Linked DNA regions of Arabidopsis thaliana. The protein of the gene in region 1 interacts with the protein of each later gene in a pairwise test. Each region holds a gene or a part of one and is shown in the gene's direction. Other genes may lie near its edges.

Evidence for each region.
Region 2: the proteins of AT1G03457 (region 1) and GIP1 interact in a two-hybrid assay, tested with the Arabidopsis thaliana proteins (one large-scale study listed by BioGRID).
Region 3: the proteins of AT1G03457 (region 1) and AT3G21215 interact in a two-hybrid assay, tested with the Arabidopsis thaliana proteins (one large-scale study listed by BioGRID).

What each region holds. Positions count from the first base shown.
Region 1 is NC_003070.9:860,190-866,660, reverse strand, and holds AT1G03457 (RNA-binding (RRM/RBD/RNP motifs) family protein), read left to right. Parts: upstream 1-2,288; 5' UTR 2,289-2,641; coding exon 2,642-2,801; intron 2,802-3,048; exon of another isoform or gene 3,049-3,119; coding exon 3,120-3,202; intron 3,203-3,856; coding exon 3,857-3,908; intron 3,909-4,020; coding exon 4,021-4,173; intron 4,174-4,267; coding exon 4,268-4,347; intron 4,348-4,448; coding exon 4,449-4,619; intron 4,620-4,751; coding exon 4,752-5,055; intron 5,056-5,149; coding exon 5,150-5,293; intron 5,294-5,382; coding exon 5,383-5,552; 3' UTR 5,553-5,899; downstream 5,900-6,471. Other genes in the region: NET3A (Kinase interacting (KIP1-like) family protein), read left to right, coding at 1-444. UniProt on the Arabidopsis thaliana protein: RNA-binding protein involved in the regulation of flowering time. Acts as a repressor of the activity of SOC1, a transcriptional activator of flowering time.
Region 2 is NC_003074.8:4,250,047-4,255,890, reverse strand, and holds GIP1 (GBF-interacting protein 1), read left to right. Parts: upstream 1-1,612; 5' UTR 1,613-1,684; coding exon 1,685-1,862; intron 1,863-2,318; coding exon 2,319-2,362; intron 2,363-2,480; coding exon 2,481-2,547; intron 2,548-2,627; coding exon 2,628-2,754; intron 2,755-2,835; coding exon 2,836-3,089; intron 3,090-3,218; coding exon 3,219-3,459; intron 3,460-3,589; coding exon 3,590-3,752; intron 3,753-3,899; coding exon 3,900-4,307; intron 4,308-4,382; coding exon 4,383-4,604; 3' UTR 4,605-4,933; downstream 4,934-5,844. Other genes in the region: AT3G13224 (RNA-binding (RRM/RBD/RNP motifs) family protein), read right to left, coding at 36-205, 300-405, 507-670, 806-846, 988-1,043; ABCG26 (ABC-2 type transporter family protein), read left to right, coding at 5,188-5,385, 5,465-5,754, 5,820-5,844. UniProt on the Arabidopsis thaliana protein: Plant specific protein that enhances G-box-binding factor (GBF) DNA binding activity. May function as a nuclear chaperone or lever and regulate the multimeric state of GBFs. May contribute to bZIP-mediated gene regulation.
Region 3 is NC_003074.8:7,440,618-7,447,410, reverse strand, and holds AT3G21215 (RNA-binding (RRM/RBD/RNP motifs) family protein), read left to right. Parts: upstream 1-2,098; 5' UTR 2,099-2,179; coding exon 2,180-2,350; intron 2,351-2,673; coding exon 2,674-2,853; intron 2,854-2,932; coding exon 2,933-3,008; intron 3,009-3,205; coding exon 3,206-3,335; intron 3,336-3,451; coding exon 3,452-3,566; intron 3,567-3,889; coding exon 3,890-3,981; intron 3,982-4,097; coding exon 4,098-4,167; intron 4,168-4,255; coding exon 4,256-4,338; coding exon of another isoform or gene 4,339-4,375; exon of another isoform or gene 4,376-4,435; coding exon 4,436-4,538; 3' UTR 4,539-5,960; downstream 5,961-6,793. Other genes in the region: MKK5 (MAP kinase kinase 5), read right to left, coding at 448-1,494; AT3G21210 (zinc ion binding protein), read left to right, coding at 6,655-6,793.

The sequences.
Region 1 (6,471 bases):
GAAATAGATAACGGTGAAAGCAAATGGGTCGATGAAAGTGAAATTGATGGCATTGTTGAGGAAATAGAACCATCGGAAGTCGTTTACAGTGAAGGTAATGGAAATTCTGAGATGATGAAGATAGAGATAGAGAGGCTGAGAGAGGAGAATAAGGTTTACAGTGAAATGGTGAGAGAGAAAGATGAAGAGAAGAGAGAAGCTATAAGGCAAATGAGTGTAGCAATACAAATGCTTAAAGAAGAGAACTCAGAGCTTAAGAAACGTGTTACCAATACTGTTGTTGCAAGGCGTAATAAGGAAGGTGGTGATTCTCAGAGGAAGCAACAGATGTGGAAGCCATTTGAGTTTAAGAAGATTAAGCTTGAAGGGTTATGGGGGAAAGGCTTTGGCAATTGGGCTCTCCCAAACACAGATTCTACTTCCAAAGAGCTCATGACTCTTTAGAGGAGACAGAGAGGTCCGAGTGATCAAGAACAGAAACTGAGGAACTTTCTCTAAATATCTTTGTACTCTGTGATAGGTAGGGTATACTCTCAACTAGTTAGCGTAAGGTATATCATAGGATTGTAGTTATACCTAAGTCCATGGATGTTTGTTACATTTTCTATTGTTCGTTTCTTGTTTAAATATAATTGTCTTTCTTTTGAAATCAATTGTTTTGTTCTTTAATATCTGTAAGTTTGTTTTCTTTTACTTTATGTGTGTAATAAATGGTGATAAGAAGTTGTTGTTTAAAAGGTTTGACCATTATTTTAGATTTTCATAATGTTCTTCTATATGATTGTGGTTTTGTCGAATGATATTCTTTTATATGATCATAAGTCTGAAGACTTTTGGGTCTCACTATGAGGATAAGTAAATTTCCCAAAGATCTGCAAATTTGAAATGCCAGAGACTGGTGAGATGTAGAATCTAACTTTGTTTTTACATAAGCACGTTATCTACTATCTACAGATTGGATATAGATTAATCTAACAACGTATACATATTTTAGTAGACTAATGAATACTTGATTGATATGTCAAACTTTTTCATTGACTTCTTTCATGAAATGCAATAGAAATATTATCATTTACTCACAGAGTAACAGTGGAGATTCTTTTAATACGTTTTCATGCTAAATTAAGCGGCCGAGTGGTTTTTTCTTCTTAATTACTACTACACTATTATCGTTTATCAATGACTAATTCACACAAACATGCACAAAAACCAGAAAACAAGTGGGGTCAAAACGTAAACTAAATAAAGTCAGCGGCCTTCTTTGTGAAATTTGATGTAAGAATCGGAGCTGATGTGGTTATTTATTTCCGAATGGCAAGGACAGTCTGTCATATTTATGTTTTTGCCACTAGTATTTCCTTATATTTACGACACTCTACCCTTATTTCAGTGTCCTCTACTCGTTGTCACTGAAAAATGAAAATGACCTCTCGTGTATGGATATAAATTCTACGGTCAACTAGTATAGTCGTATTTATTTCTATAACTATTTCTCGATTTACTTACTTTTAATTTTTTTTTTTACAAATCTAGAATTGGTCATTGGATTCTCCGTTCCAAAAATAAATAATATGTTACATTAATATAACACATATTATTATTCACTTCATCACTTGTTACAAATAGGATTGGATTGATTTTAATTTAGTTGTATGGTGCGAAAACGATAAAAATGTTTATATTCAATTTAAGTTAAAAATGACAGTTTGCATTTGGAGTTGGTTTGGCTAGATTGAAATGTCCAAACCCTCTTTTCAATGGTGTAATATATTATTGTCTAAAGCTAAAATATATATATTATATAAAATAATTAATATGGAAATTTATAGCCGTGTCCATGTGTATTGTCAAATACTCAAATTTCAACTGCTCAAAAGAAAAAAAAGGTTTTTCTTTTTGTGTTTGTAACTGTGTATGTTTGATTTGGACCTTTAAACAAACCTACACTTTTTATTATTAATAAAGAATTAAATATATAAAAATTTTAGTGATAAAAATATTAGGACATATATCTATCACTACTTTAACGTCAGATGATCATATCCATTATAAGGAGGAATTGATAAAAAAAAATATTAGAATAAAGGTAGACTAACTTTAACAAACGATATCCAACATAAACAAAATACTCACTTTTCTTTAAACCAAACGACAATAAAAATCCAAAAAAAAACTAAACATAAACTAACATTTTGAGTTTTAATGCAGAAGACTGAAGAAATGACAGCTATTTAATTTAAACATAACAAAAAAAATAGTCAGCTTATTCACACACTCCATATTAAAACAAAAACGCGGATAAAATGGTAAATTCGGCATGACAACACATCCATAATCAGACAAAACAATCCGAAAGTGTTCCCCTGGCATCCCACAGGCTCGCCTTCTTGTTTAATTGAACAGCTGTTTTAATGGCAATATCGTAAATTTAGTAATAACGACGAGCCCAGATTTAGTCCGTATTTTAATTTAACCACTTTGTCACCCATTAGTTAGTAGTTCTCTCATTTTTTTTTCTTATTATTATTATTTTTTCCAAAAAAAAGAAAGTAAATAAATAAATATTCAGGAAGAAAAAGCCTGTAGAGAGAGAAGAAGAAGAAGAAGAAGAAGAAGACGACGAAGTCGAGAGAAAGAAATAATGGCGGAGGAGACGATGGAGAACGAAGAGAGGGTGAAGCTGTTCGTCGGACAAGTTCCGAAGCACATGACGGAGATTCAGCTCCTCACATTGTTTCGAGAATTCTCCATCGTCAATGAAGTCAACATCATTAAAGAGAAGACAACACGAGCTCCTCGAGGTTTTTTTTTAATAAAAAAATTCCTCTGTTTTCTCCCAAAGAACGTTACTTTTGATATCTTTTTGTTTTTTTTCTTAGAAGTTTTTCTCTGTTTCGAGGATACTTGTAGATGGTTTTTCGATTCGTCTGATTTTGGATTCTGAAAACCCTAATTTTCTCCGTTTCATTCGTTTAATTTGAACTCTGTTTTTTTCTTTCTTTAATTTGGAAGTTCCCCTGTTTTTTTTTTTTTTTGTTCTTTTTTATTGCGCGTGATTTCTTCGTTGCTTTTATTTTATTTTTGAATTGTGAAAACCCTAATTTCTTGTGGAATTGTAGGATGTTGTTTTCTGACATGTCCTACAAGGGAAGATGCTGACAAGGTGATCAATAGTTTTCATAACAAGAAGACATTGCCTGGGGTAAGTCTTCTTTCTTGTTACCATTCTTGAAGCTGTTTTGCTTAATTTTCTGGGATTTTCTGATATTTGAATCTGATGTTTCTGTGTACATCAAAACTACTTAAGGTGACATTTTTTCAAGCTACTGATTAAAATCTCAGATTGATTTTTCTTCTTTTTATCCGTCTCGATCTGCATTGTACTTGATTATTGTCCCTGTTAATTTTGCATGTTGTTGCTTGGTTATATATATCATATATCCATCGAGGTGAAATCATGAATCTGATTTGGCTGATCAGAATCTGCCCTATCAGTTATTGTAATCTGATGATACTAGTTCGTTTCAAATCCTCTCTAGCTGATTTCTTCAAACCCAAGAAACCACATTGGTCCACTATAGATGTATGTCAGTGGTCACTAAAACGTGCAAGATGCAAAAAGCTAGAACATCTCTAGGAATGAGATTATAGGAACCCAAATACCAAGAGAAAACTTTTGCTTCATTGTGTTGACTTTTTGTTGAGCGATCTTTAACAAAAATTTGGTGTATATATATATCCTTGCTTCTTTCGATTTTTCTGTGGCCGGTATCTGAACATTAGGATGCTTATGGGCTATGTACACTCTTATCCCTCTCTCGAATTATAGAATTCACTTTCTTATGATATGTTTCAGGCATCTAGTCCGTTGCAAGTTAAGTATGCAGATGGCGAGTTGGAAAGACTAGGTACGCAAAATGCTTCTGAGTGATGAAGTCTAAGCACCAAAAGAGTTCTTTTTTTCTTTCTTTCCAGAGTTTGGTCGCATTTTTTAATTTTTGATACCAATCAATTTGATAGATGTTCTTGACTGTTCGTGCAATCCAGAGCACAAACTTTTCGTCGGTATGCTTCCAAAGAATGTCTCTGAAACTGAAGTCCAGTCCTTATTCTCTGAATACGGAACCATTAAGGATCTACAGATTCTAAGAGGGTCTCTACAAACTAGCAAAGGTATGTATCTCCACTTGCTTATGCATCTATAGCAAGCACTCTATACCAGAGTTCTGACTGACTTTAATTATTTGGTTCATTTGGATTATTTTAGGCTGTCTGTTTCTAAAGTACGAGTCTAAAGAACAAGCGGTCGCAGCTATGGAAGCCCTCAACGGAAGACATATAATGGAGGTATGTGCTTATTACATATACTTCTCTCGAACATTCTTGTTATTTTATAAAGACTTGTATGGAGAGTGTGACAATATCACATTCTTTTTTTCTTCTTTTAGGGAGCAAATGTTCCTTTGATTGTTAAATGGGCAGACACAGAAAAGGAAAGACAAGCTCGAAGACTTCTAAAAGTTCAATCTCATGTCTCCAGACTCGATCCGCAAAACCCCTCCATGTTTGGAGCATTACCTATGAGTTATGTTCCTCCTTACAATGGATATGGCTATCATGTAAGTTCTTGTTTTCTCATCTACTTGGATTGAACTTTTTGGACTCATGAGGTTTGAAAAAGCTGTAGAGATTGGTGTATTTTGGTTGCAAGACTTTTTTTATTTGATCCTTAAAACTTTTCTCTATAACAGGTGCCTGGAACTTATGGCTACATGCTACCACCTATCCAGACTCAACATGCATTTCACAATGTGATTTCACCTAACCAAGGTAACGGCAGGGCATTGCAGGGAACCGCTTTGACAGAGTCTGTCCCACCACGTTTGGCCCCCCGCAGAAACTTCCCAACGGCTCTTGGAAATTACGGTTACCATGGTCTTCAATATCCTATGGCATTTCCTAGAGGGATGATACCTCCTCGCCTTCCTCTAACCACAGTTTCACCTGGAATTTCTAATAACGGCACATCGATACCTTCCTCGCTTCAAACAGAAGGTTTAGTTAGTCCAAAACAAGAACAAATAAGATTTTGATAAGTTTCTAGTCGTTATGTTACTGATATTTAAAGCAATTTCTTTGATGTTCTCAGGACCAGCAGGTGCGAATCTATTTATTTATAACATACCTCGGGAATTCGAGGATCAAGAACTCGCGGCTACGTTTCAACCTTTTGGTAAGGTTCTAAGCGCCAAGGTGTTTGTAGACAAGGCCACTGGTATAAGCAAATGTTTCGGTAAGCTCTTGCTTTCTTCCTCTATCATCTTCATTCTTTCCCCTAGACTCGAATTAACCGTTACGCAACCCTTTTGTTGCTGCACGCAGGATTCATTAGTTATGACTCACAGGCAGCTGCTCAGAACGCTATTAACACAATGAACGGTTGCCAATTAAGCGGTAAGAAATTGAAAGTCCAGCTTAAGAGAGACAACGGTCAACAGCAGCAACAACAACAGAGTAAAAACCCGTTATTTAACGGTTTATTAAACTCGTAAAAACCACTGACATCTCTTCATCATTAAGAGTTCGCTGTGCGGTTAACGGCAAATCCGGTTGAGACACTAAGATGGATCTTGATGGAACTGGAGAACAAAAAGTTGATGGCCGTAATTAACTAACATTTGCCAAGTCTGATCATGTGGGTCAGAAATTCTCAATCACTCAGAAAAGCTGTATCTTCATGCAAAAGGATTCTCTTCCACTCACTCTTCTTCTATTTTTCTCTTTTCTAAACTTTGTCAATTTGTGACTTATGTCTATCATTGAAAAGTTCATGTATAAATGTTATGATTATTAACCATTATAATTTCATTTATTAATCTTGTTCATTCTTAAAAGTCCCGTTCTTGAAGACTTCTTTAAGAATGTTTGATTGTAGTTTTTTTCCAGAAAATTGGAGGATTTTTCTCTCCTTGTTTTCTCTCTAACAGTATTGTTGTGCTTCTGCTCCCTGATGGATAAAACAGAGTCAACGATGTAATATATTCTTGACTATTAAGAAACTGCATATATACAAAAATGTTGCAATATTATAGATGAATTGATTAAAATGAATCAAGTAATGTTGAGTTGTTGACAATTCAAACATTTTATTTTCGTATCCTTTTTTTTTTAGTAGAGTAAAGATCAAAATATATAAAGAAATCAAAATGTTCTAAGACTTTAAATTTAAGTTTTTATATTAAATCTCAATATACAGCTCACATGTTATCATTTGGTAATTAAAATTATAGGTCCACATTTCATTTTAAAATTAAAATAGTCCTAATATATTTTAATTACTTTTAAAAATCAACAAAGGGTCCACAACTCATTAATTGATAATTAATATAATTATTATCTCTTATTTGGTATAATTAACTAAAAGGTCCACAATTATATTTTATATAAATGACTGTATATTATATTCTTCTT
Region 2 (5,844 bases), on another chromosome or scaffold:
AACCAAAATTCTAATCCCCATTTGTACAAGCTTACCTGAGTGTCTGCCATATCGATCATGTTTCCTTTGGACAATAATTCATCTACGACTTCTTCGCTATCAAAAATTACAAAACCAAAACCTCTGGACCTGTTTGTTTCATGGTCTCGAATAACCTGGTGCTCCACCACGTTCCCATACTTGGCAAAGAAGTCCTTAAGTTCATCTGATCAACAGAAAAAGAAACCAACTTCAATAAGGACAGGAAACCAGCATTCTCATGGAAAGCAAAAAAATATCATGCCAAGAGGGAGGTCTACCTTCTGTAACCGTTGAGGGTATACCACCAACGAAAATCTTCTTTGTTTTGATGTCCTTTGACTGATTGCCACCAGCACCTTTCGGAATAGTCCTTTTGATCTCAACCTGTTCCATCAAAACAAGGAAAAAAGTATTGATCAAGACCCAACACCCTACTAAAAATGAACACTATAAGCTAGTGAAGGAAGAAAAGAGAAGTGGCCGACCTGTTTGCCATTGATGACATGAGTATCTTCGATAACTTTGTCAACAACAGAAGGGTCAGCGAAGGTGATGAAACCGAAACCCCTAGGTTGTCCAGTATGTCGATCTCGCATAATGACAGAATCTGTAATCTCCCCGTACTTGCCAAAGTGCTTATTGAACACAGCTGCAATCAAAACCAAAGTGAGCAAGTAGAATCAACATTCCAACAGGTCTAACATCAGAAACACACACAAGAATCCATAACATAACAAAACTTAGAAACGCAATTTCTAGAACAAAACAAGAGGAAGAAACTTACTATTAGTCGTGTCTTTGTGCAATCCTCCAATGAATATTTTCCTGCAACACAAAAATTCCAAGCAAAACATAAATTAAACCTTAACCAACAATATAAAAAGAGTTACAAAGCCAACAGATTATGAGATATTTCCCTTAATCCTGTGGAATCAAACATGCAAGAGGTAGGAGAAGTAAACGTACCCAGGACTAGCGCCATCGCCGGACTGGAAATTATCATTACGAGATCTGGAACCCATCGCAGCTCCTAAATTCAGTTTTCGATTGAGCTAAAGGATCGAGAGAGACACCGAAAGCTAGGGTTTTGATAAGATCTGATGTCTCTTCATCTAATTAGAGGAGATAGCTAAATCGTGTAATATATATATATTCTTAAATTTGGACATCGACTTGTGGAAACAAAACAAAGTTAATATTTTTTTACACAGCTGTCTATTTTTCCTATTCTTGTAAAAAGACAAAAAAAAAAAAAGTAAATTGTTGACAGTGGGATTTGAACCCACGCCCTTTCGGACCAGAACCTTAATCTGGCGCCTTAGACCAACTCGGCCATATCAACTTTGTTGTCTCTCCTTCCATTAAACGCGTACAAAACAATCAAATAATGAGGAGGAAATCGATAAACAGTGACGTCAGCGTATAAATATACGTAGAGAGAGACATTAAGCGGTAGATTGTACGGAAATAAATAATAGTACTCAATCAAATAATGAGGAGGAAATTGATAAACAGTGACGTCAGCGTATAAATATACGTAGAGAGAGACATTAAGCGGTAGATTGTACGGAAATAAATAATAGTACTATATACGAAGTCTTTATGTTCAACCCATATTTCCTCTCTCCTCCTCCCTCCGCTTCTCTTTCTCTCTGTAACCAACATGAGCAGGATCAGCGGCGATGGCGGCTCTAGGGTTTCTATTCCGGCTGATCTGCTTCAAACCATTCAAAACATCAGAGAGGTTACCGGTAAACAACATTCCGACGAGGATATCTTCTCTGTCTTTAAGGAGTGTTTCAGTGATCCACATGAGACCACTCAGAAGCTTCTCTATTTAGGTTGTTTTACTGAGAAAGCTTCAGCATTTGTTTTTGTTTTAGTGTTTTTACTTCCTTTTTGTTGTATTGAGCGTGTGCTTCTCCTAGGGTTTTGTTTTGGATTTTGCTATTTAATGCCCTTTGTCGATTTTGGTCTTGTCTTAGAATCTGTGTGTTATGCTTAGAATCTTATGTTTTGTTTATTTAGATTTCTAATTGGTATAATATGTCTGGGGATGTTCAAATAAGGAATCTTTTTTACTGAAATGGAATATGTAGAATTTGGGTTCATGACTAAGAAACTGTCGTTTTAAATCTTTACCAATCTAGCTGGAATGTGGAAAGGGAATTTCTGTTTAGCTTTGATTGAGATTGGGCATCTGGGTTAAGTTTTGATTCTGTCTACTGTTTCAAGATCAACATAATCATGTACTTTGATAGCAGACATGTACTCATATATTATTACTGATCTTTCAGATACATTTCATGAGGTGAGAAGCAAACGGGAGAGAAAGAAAGAGGTAGCTTTCCTATGTTCTTTTGAATCCTTACTTTGCATTTTAAGTGTGGTCTTGAGTTCTCTGTTTAGCTTACATCATCTCGTTTCTCTTATGCCTTTATGTGTATTACCTGTTGTAGAATTTAGTGCCAAATACACAAGGAAGGGGCCGGACTGGACGGAAGAACTTTGCTTCAAGTTACACAGGTCATTGTGGTTTATGTTCTTTTACTTCTAAACTTGTGTTCTATATTTCCTTCCTTGATTCAAGCTCTTTGTTGATTCAGATGCCAGTAATGGAAGAAGTGCAGCTTTTAAAAAGCAGAGTGGAGCTAATCACATAATAGGAGGTTCTGGAACTGCTTCGTCTGCTCCTAACAATGCAAGAAACGACACAAAACCTTCTTCCATAATGTATCCATACTTTTAATTCTGTCTATGTCTTTAATTCCCTCTTTGGATATGGGCTTCCTAACGCATTCTATTCTTTTTCAGGGCCCCGAACCCTATAAGTCTTCCAAGTGGAATCAGTAACCAGAAAATTCAAGATGCTATCATATCCCCTGTGGACAAGGTGGACACAGAGGAACAGCCTCTCTCCAAGGCTACTTCTTCTTCTAAGGATGTTGTTGAGCCGGATAAGTCTAAAGAAAGTAGTGTATCAGTGGCTGTATCAGATTCTGTTGTAGAAAACGATACTCAATATGCTGTAGTTGAAACTTTTCAGATCCCACAACAGTCCGAGCGAGGTATAAATTATACCATATAATTACTTGCCTGCTAATGTTGCTTTAAGTGCATTCTGTATTCTGTTAAGTTGTTCCTGAGTTTGATTACAGCCTCTTATGTGATTCGACGTATGGCTTTATTTGGAACAGTCATTAAGAGTGAGGTTGCAGCCAGTAAATGCAAGAATGAGTCGCTTCTCAAGTCGGATGTTGGTGAACGGCCGCACGTAACATTTCCTGTCCACATTCAGGTTGCCAAAATGCTGGAAAATGGTCTGACATTTGGGAGCTTCGATTCTAATTTTGTGAGAGAGGCATCTTCTGACAAGTTTACTATTGGGTGTGATGACTCCAATATTGAGTCTTCTCATGGGACAGCCGCATCAGCTAGGTTGGTGACTAATAGCTACTTTGAGTAAATCTTACAGTGTTACTTGCTTCAATATTCTCATGAATTGATCTAGAGTCTCAGATGAATGAGTTTCTGATATGAATACCTTTATATGAAACTTGGTTTGCAGGAAAGATATATCAACTTTTTCTCAGGATAAGAATCATGAGATTTCAAATTCAGCAGCTCAGAACGAGTTAACATTGCAGCCAGATCAAACTGTTCTCCCTGAAGAAGGTTCAGAAGGAGATAAAGTAAAGAACGAGGTTTTACCAATCACAGACACTCATCAGGTTGGTTATTATCAAGAAGCCCCACACAATGTCTTTTTAGTCTTGTGCATTCATTGTCAGCATCAGGCCAACCGCGTGGTTTTTCTAGCCAGGAAATATGAACACAATGCTTAATCACTGTCTTTTATATTTTGTTGATAATTGCAGGCTGCAAAGTGTGATGCTCCACCTATCTCCTATCCTGATCAGTATTCCTTAGCAGCCGCTCAACAGGCAATGCACCTTTATAGGCAACAATACTCTCTTAACTATTTCCCTTATGGTCCATATTTCCCCCCTTATTATATGCCGCAACCATACATTCACCAGTACTTGAGCCCAAATGGGTTCCAACAACAGTCTTACTTACCACCCGGAGATGATGCTCCAGCACCTCCAGGGGCTGAACTACCTCTCACTCACATCAAACCCGGAAGCGACATTGGAAACTCTCCACCTACCACGATTCCATTCTCATATACTTCATACGCCTTCAACCACATCCCATCAGCAGCCACCATAAATGCTACTCACAAGGAAGAAAAGAAGGAAAACATGTACACAACTGGACCACTGGTTAGTTTTTCTCTGACTCTCCCCACTGTCATTGCATGTTATGCTATAGTTTTTTAACACGGCTCCATGTAGCAGAGTCTAGCCAATCTGCAGGCCAGTCCCATGTACAACTTATCCCTTCAAGGTCAGCCTATAGCTTTCCCAACCATGCAGGCTGGGATCCGTGGGTTATATCAACAAACACAGCCAATACTGGCGCCTCTATCTATATCTGCGAGGACTGAACCCATAGGACCATCGCACGTAACTAATCAGCAACCTCAAGCTGCACGAACAAATCTGGGAAACAACTACTAGGTCAAGGAGTATTACTAGAAAGATGCATATTCAGATTGGTACGAGATGTTTAAGTCTGGAATTTTGAGTGATTTTGTGTACATACTTAGGATACATCACCCCCCAAGAAGAAGATTAGTATTTGGCAAGGGGACAAGAGAATTGGTGCCTTTTGTTTTTTCAATTTTTGTGAGTGCCACAAACCGCTTTGATCTCGTTTATCTGTAATTCTTCCGAATCTTACAATATAATCAAGTGATCAGTTTATATGAGCAAGTGGACATTTATTCTCGTACGTTGTGATCGTCAATGAGCAAGCCAAGTCGATAAATGTAAATGATTTTAGTACCATATAAAGTATATTGAAATTAATATAGTTTCATTTGCTCCTTGTTCAAGTCAACAAATGCATTCAATTTAATACAAAAACATTGAAAGAATGTGGTCTACCAAACTAACACCCTGATAAACAGAGAGAAAAAGAGAACACAAAAAGCAAGAAAGTTTCAGGTTTGACACAGTTGATCCACACACTTCTTCCGTTATATAACACAAGCCTACATTCATAACAATTTTCTTGTGGAACAAGAATAAGAAAGATAACATGGAGATCAGAAGATCAACAGAAGAAGTTGAAGAGAATCATGTAATGCAGATTACAGGAAGCAATGGCATAGTTCACAACATGGAGTTCATGCCACAAGCTTACCTCAGAAACCAATACTCATCCGAGATTGACATTGATGAAGAGTTCGTTTCCACTTATCCTCTCGAAGATGCCCCTCTTCCCATCTTTCTCAAGGTTCAACTTTCTCTTTTGCTTTCGATTTTCCTTCATTAAGACAAAGCTTATTGGTTTCGCCTCTTTTATTTATATGCAGTTTGAAGATGTGGAGTATAAGGTGAGAAACAGTCATGCTAGCTCAGCAAACCTGGTGAAAACAATGGTGTCAAAGGTGGTAACACATACAAATCCGGATCCAGATGGATACAAGCACATTTTGAAAGGCATAACAGGAAGCACAGGTCCTGGCGAAATCCTTGCGCTAATGGGGCCTTCGGGTAGTGGCAAAACAACTCTTCTGAAGATAATGGGAGGAAGATTGACAGATAATGTCAAGGGGAAGCTTACCTATAATGACATTCCTTACAGTCCATCTGTTAAGAGGAGGTGAGTTGGATATTTTCTCCTACCTGAATCATACTATTATGTGCTGATCTTTCCCTGTTTTCCAGAATTGGCTTTGTGACGCAAGACGAT
Region 3 (6,793 bases), on another chromosome or scaffold:
CAGTAGGCACTAGGGTAGCCTTTGTAATGTTCACAAGACGGAAACTAGAAAACCATAAAGAGAATTAAAGGAAGAAGCTTTATTAATGAGAATTATCCAATGAAAGATCCTCCATTTACTTCCTTATATAAACAATAATATAAGCAAATCCAGCTAAAATCACTCTTAAACCATAAGAATTCTTCTTGTCTATTTTTTTGTTTCCATTTCTAGCAAAACATTCTTCATTACCCATAAGACAAATCAAGCTTAGCAGCATAAGATAAAGACTCAATAAACCCTAACCACAAACTGAGTTTCTTCCTGACGACTCATACCCCAATCACAAACCACATTGTTCTTCTACTCTTCTCATTATCTTTGCTTGGGGTATGCAAAACTTATGGAAAAATGTCAGGAAAAACTACGAAAAATTGAAAAACAAGAAAGACGAAAATGGTAGAAACACTAAGAGGCAGAAGGAAGAGGACGAGGCGGCGGCAACATTTGACGGAGATTAGGACCACCGGTAGCTTTAAGTATGAAAGGATGCTGCAAAAGCTGTTGAGCTGACCATCTCTTAGGAGGATCACTCTGTAAACAACAAGAAACAAAGTGACGAAACTCCTGAGACGCCGTAGCCGGAGCTTCAGGTGGCTGAGACATACAAATAGCACACATAAGACTAGCCCAATCACCTTGTCTACTCACAGCAAAAGGAAACCTCCCCAAGTAAAACTCCAAGATACTAACACCTAAACTCCAAACATCTCCAGCATAACCATCGTAACGACCATGATTCAAATCAGTATTAATCCTCTCAGGACTCATATAAGCAATAGTACCAACAGATGAATTACAAGGATCCATTGTTTGTGCCAAGATCCTACTCACACCAAAATCAGCAATTTTCACATTTTTAGCTGAGTTTATAAGAAGATTCGAAGGTTTGATATCACGATGAACGATATGACGACGATGAAGATAAGCTAATCCACTAAGAATCTGACGAGAGAGATCAGCTAATTCCTGTTCTTGCCATATATGAGCTCCTTCAAGAGATCCTTGATCCATAAACTCAAGCAAAACCTGGATCTCACCGTTATGATCAAACATATCGTGACATTTCACAACGTTTGGATGATCAACACTTCTTAAGATCTCGATCTCTCTACAGATCTGACGTCTCACGGTATCTTCGTGGTTTCCGTAAATCACTTTGAGAGCGAAAGGACGTGACGTCGGAGTGTGGATTACTTTGTAAACCGTTCCTCCGGCTCCGCTTCCGATTCGGTTCACTCGTTCTAGCTCGGATAAGCTTTTAGCGGCGGAGATGTTGGTTGAGATCGCGGAGGAAGACGCCGGAGCGGATGAAGAGGAAGAAGGAGGTGGGAGAGGGAGAGGTACGGCGAGAGCGACGTCGCGGTGTGGGAGTGGTAAGCTTAGGTCAGGACGTTTGCGTAAACGGTTCTTCATAGGTGAAGCTACTCCAGAAGGAGATTGAATCGGTTTCATGGCTTTTAGAAGAAGAGGGAATCAAAAGTTTTTTTTTTTTTTCACAAGGTTGATTCTTTATCTTCCAGGTTTGTATTTATCATCATGATTGACTTGACTCTAGGGTTTGTTTGATTCGTCGTTTTTCAAAGAGATCAAATCAAGAGGAGAATGAAGCTTCATCGAAGAGATTTGTGAAAATGATTGTAAGAAACAAGAAAAAAAAAAAAAGTTAAAATGGTAAGACGAAGGTACGCGTTGATGGAAAGAGCGTGGAATACACTCGCACTTGTGTGGCTCTGTGTTGTTACACGTTAACCATGTTTTTTGTTTGGTCGGGTCTGAATTGGATTATAATATCATTAAGAGTGTTTAAGATCGTGGATTTAGATACTATAAATTTGGTGTTAGGTATTTAATATTTTTAGAAAGTAAGAAAATACAGATTAAAGTTTCTTTCCAATAAAAACAATTGAAAAAAGAAAAACTTAAAGTAATTATAATTCTAAAAAAATTAAAAACTAATTTTCTTTTTAAAGTTTTTAACAGAAAAAGAAAGAAATAAAATTAAAGTGGTACAGTGTTCACGTGCGATGCATGTGACTTAAAAAATAAGTTTGCCTTCTTTGCCGTCAATTCTTCCGCAGAAGTTTTTTCGAACAATCAATCTCTGACTCTCTGAGTAATTAGGTTTTTTTTTTATCTCATGGCCGGCGCCGGAATCCACCCATACCACCAGCAGTGGCCGCCGGCAGGTGCGCCGCCTCCTCCAGCCGCAGTATCATCAGCTGCTCCACCACATCCGCCGCCCATTCATCACCATCCTCCTCCTCCTCCTGTTTTAGTTGACAACCATAATCGTCCTCCTTATGACGAGGTTCAACTCTTTCTCTTTCTCTCTATACATATCGGTGATTCTTGTGCTGTGTTGTCGAGATGGGCTTGCTTGATTTTTGTTTACGTTGAGGTTTTAATTTGCCTGCTTTTTGATATACAATGTTAGCTTGATTTTGCTACGGAATCGATAAATTGTCCAAAGTTATGACCTTTTTGATAAGAATGATTTTTAAGTTTGTTACTAAAATCTCACTTATGACCTGTTGCATAAGTGAGAAAGGTTCTCTTATCTTGTCATGTAGTTGGAGTTTTCTGATTTTGGGAAAACGTGATCTCTTACACAAGTTTGAATCTGTTGTTCAGCTGCGGACAATCTTCATCGCAGGGCTTCCCGATGATGTAAAAGAGAGAGAGCTTTTGAATCTCTTGAGATGGTTGCCTGGTTACGAGGCTTCTCAGGTGAACTTCAAGGGAGAAAAGCCCATGGGGTTTGCTCTTTTCTCCACAGCTCAGTTTGCAATGGCAGCCAAAGATACCCTTCAGGTCTGTCTGCTTCTGATCATTGTTGACTCAGATCCTTTTTTGTCTTCACATTATGACATATGTTGTTCTTGGCATGCAGCATATGGTGTTTGATGCTGAGTCAAAGTCTGTGATACATACAGAGATGGCCAAGAAGAATCTTTTTGTTAAAAGAGGTTAGCTCTACCTTTATGACATAAAATGGCTGTATTTTATCTATCTTAAGCATTAGTCATGTTACTGAAGCATGTTTGATACAGTTTTGTGCATTTATACGGGGTCTCACTACACTCTCCCCTTTATCTAGTTTCTTACTTCCTTTGTTAATATCACAAACCATATATAACCTTTGAACTCAATCTTTATTCTGTAGGTATTGTTGGGGATTCAAATGCTTATGATCAAAGTAAGCGCCTACGAACTGGTGGTGACTGCACACACTCTGTGTATAGTCCATCTCCTTTCCATCCTCCACCTCCTCCTGTGTGGGGACCTCCTCATGGGTTAGGCATTTGCTTCTCCTTCATATTTCATATGCTGTGTAGAAATTGGACGATGTGTATTTGGTACACCGTTTTATGTTAAGTTGCTTATTTGACAAGAAGATAAATTGGTTCAGATATATGGCACCTGCACCTCCACCATATGATCCCTATGCAGGTTATCATGCTCCCCCTGTACCAATGCCTACGCCCCCACCTATAGCAGCTCCTAGTTCTTATGTGCCTGTCCAGGTGAAGTTGCACTGTTTTCATCATTTTATTTATCATATGGTGGTTGTGCAATTATATACCCGGAATCCATATTGTACTTGCCTCTCCTTGCCTAAAAATTACAATCTCGAACTTCATTCTAATTAGCTTACATGCTATACTCTCTGGTGGTTGTGTTGTGGAACAATAGTTGTTGCCTAATTTAAATGCATTGTCTACTGCTCTGAATTTGCTAAAGTTTCTGATTGTTTGATAAATTTTGTACCTAGTTTGATGAATATCTAGCCTAGGTTTGGTGATCTGATATATGTCTCATGTTGTTTTCAAATTTTTTTCAATTGCAGAATATTAAGGATAATCCACCTTGCAATACCCTATTTATTGGTAATCTTGGGGAGAATATAAACGAAGAAGAATTGAGGAGCCTGTTGAGTGCGTGAGTATCTGTTCCCTTTAGTGAGACTCCTGTCCATTGCTTTCCTTGAGATCTTGGCCTTTTTGTAGACCTGTGTTCTCAAGAATTCTGCGGTAAACTGTACTTTCATTTTGCAGGCAACCTGGTTTCAAACAAATGAAGATTCTGAGACAAGAAAGGCATACAGTTTGCTTTATTGAATTCGAGGTTAACTCTGAGACCTTCACCATCTGTGTATATGTGACAGAAAATATTCTTCTAGCATATTGTTAAATTCTTCTATCTGGACTTGCAGGATGTCAATAGTGCCACAAATGTTCACCATAATTTGCAAGGTGCTGTCATTCCAAGTTCTGGTTCAATTGGCATGAGGATCCAATATCCTTATATACTTTTACTCTTTCTGATTATTTAATATTCCAGTATGCCAAGTTCTTTTTTCTTTTCTGTTTGATTCTTCTTAACCCAATGATACATATTCAAAGAATCCATATGGGAAGAGAAAGGAAGGTGGCGGCTATTCTTTCTTTCCTTCTCCGAGTGCTAATGGAGCCCAAGGAGCCCTGACATATCAGTAGGCCTTGAAGGGGGACGTACTCTCTTCCTTATCTCCCAACAACTGCACGAATACGATGCATCTTCCAGGCAGTCTGCATTTCATCCATTTCCATTCTCGACATTTTTAAGCATCAGCATTGCTTTGTCATGTGTTGGGTGCATATAGTGTGACCTCATCAACATATAACATGTTTCAGTTTCTATTAGCTCTGCTACATGCATTCGCAGTGTGGTTTTTGATGATTGTTTGAATTATATAGGAGTTTGGTTTGCTATTTGTTTATCTTATTGCGGCTTTAATACATCACTTTGTGGGATTCATTTTCATCATTCTGATCGATTCATCCTAATGAAACGTTAGCTAGGAAAAAACATAACATTACATTAGATCATAACATGATAACATCCGGAGGCCTTCCATCAACTTCGTTTCACTGCATGGACACGGAATGTTGCTCTCATGATTGATTCATCCTAACGAAACTCCATTTGCTATGTTAGCTGATATACCATTACATTAGATCATAACATGATAACATCCAGAGGGGTTTGATCAACTTCGTTTCACTGCATAGACATGGAATATTACTCTCATGATCTATCACATCGGTTTCATTCTTCAGCATTTCCCATGTCGATCATTCTCTGTTCTTACTTAGGCTGATGAACAAGCACATCCGTTTTGTCAGAAGTTGACAGCTGATATAACATTTGAAGATAGGCATTCCATTACATTGTAGGTTTATTATAGTTGAGCAAACATATATACATTCCCAGCTCTGGCTTGGCCTTATGCAGGGACAATCCGTAAAGAGAAAGCCCAAGCTCTCGAATAGAGATGCGTTTCACCTACAAAGTTGAGGTAAGGTCATCTTCGGACGTCCAGGAACAGAGCCAGGAGTTCCTAAGAGCCTATCTTTTTACAATGGAGTCTACTTATCCAATCCAACTTATCTCTTTTCTAACTGATGTTTCTGTACGGCTTTGGGCTACTTGACTCTGGATGTGAAAACCAGAAGCGAATTTAGTGATTCTTCAAATGAGAAAGTTTCTCTTCCATTTTCAAGAACAATGTGTGTATAATTGGTCGCTTACTTATCAGATTTTGAGGTATAGGATCTCTAGGGCCTAGTTTCATGTTTTGTTTCTCTGAATTCGAACCATGGTAAATTTGCTGTAAAGAGAGGTAGGTAATATAATTAACCCAAGAGACAACCCAAGAAGAATCGATAAAGGAGTGTCTCAACTCTCAAGTAAGAAACATGTTTTCATTATTATGATTGGCGAGTCTCAAGCTTTCATCACTGTAGACAACAAAGAAAAAGATTTGTTGCACAAAAGGGTTTGTGCATTCCTTAGACCAACTTTCCAGAGAAGCAAAACATCTAAAACCACAAAACCATGGTCTTAAAAGAAAATTCTTAAACGTCAGGTGTGTCTGAGCGCAGAACTGTCAAGAAAAACAAGATAAAGAGTTGGGAGGTTAATAAAAAGAAGAAAAAAAATATAAAACGGAACTGAGAGGTAAAAGATTGAAACCCCTCTTCAAGTTGTTCAAGTAAAGATCATCAAGCAAAAGGTAGAGATGTCGATCAAATTGGTGGAACAAACGCACGGAGAGGGAGGAGAATCGTGAGTAACGTGCCTGGTTTCTGAGGCTTTCCATCGGACCATTTTGGAGAGGGAGAAGTGAACCTTGTCGCGATTGATTGTTTCAGCTTTGAATGGTTCTTTGAGACGGATATACGCCGTCCCCATACTCGTTCTCAGCCCATTTTAGGCCTTTCTGAATTAGGCCCAAATACGTTTACGTGTTTTTAGAGGAAAACTTTCAACGTGCATGTCAAAGACAAATTGTTTGTTTATTTTCTCATCAAGCAAGACAGAGACTACTATTTTGCTTTTTTTAAAAGAAAACGATGTAGCATTTTCCTTGTCGAGAAGCTAAGGAAACCTGACAAAAATGCAAGGGATAACAAACGCATTAACCAAAGTATAATTTTTTACAAGCAAAGAAACATTTGCACAAAACCCATAAATATAAACCTCATTATCCCATAATTAGCAATGCTGCATAACACATAATTTAAAAACCCTAAGAAAAAAATCGGAAGTTTGTGGAAGCAAGAAGAAGAAATGATGAATCCAGAATCCGATCATCCTTCATCTCCTCGTCAACGTAAGATTGGAATCGCCGTGGAGCTCTCTGAAGAAAGTGCCTTCACTGTTCGTTGGGCTGTTGATAACTACATCCGTCAGGGAGACGACATCATTA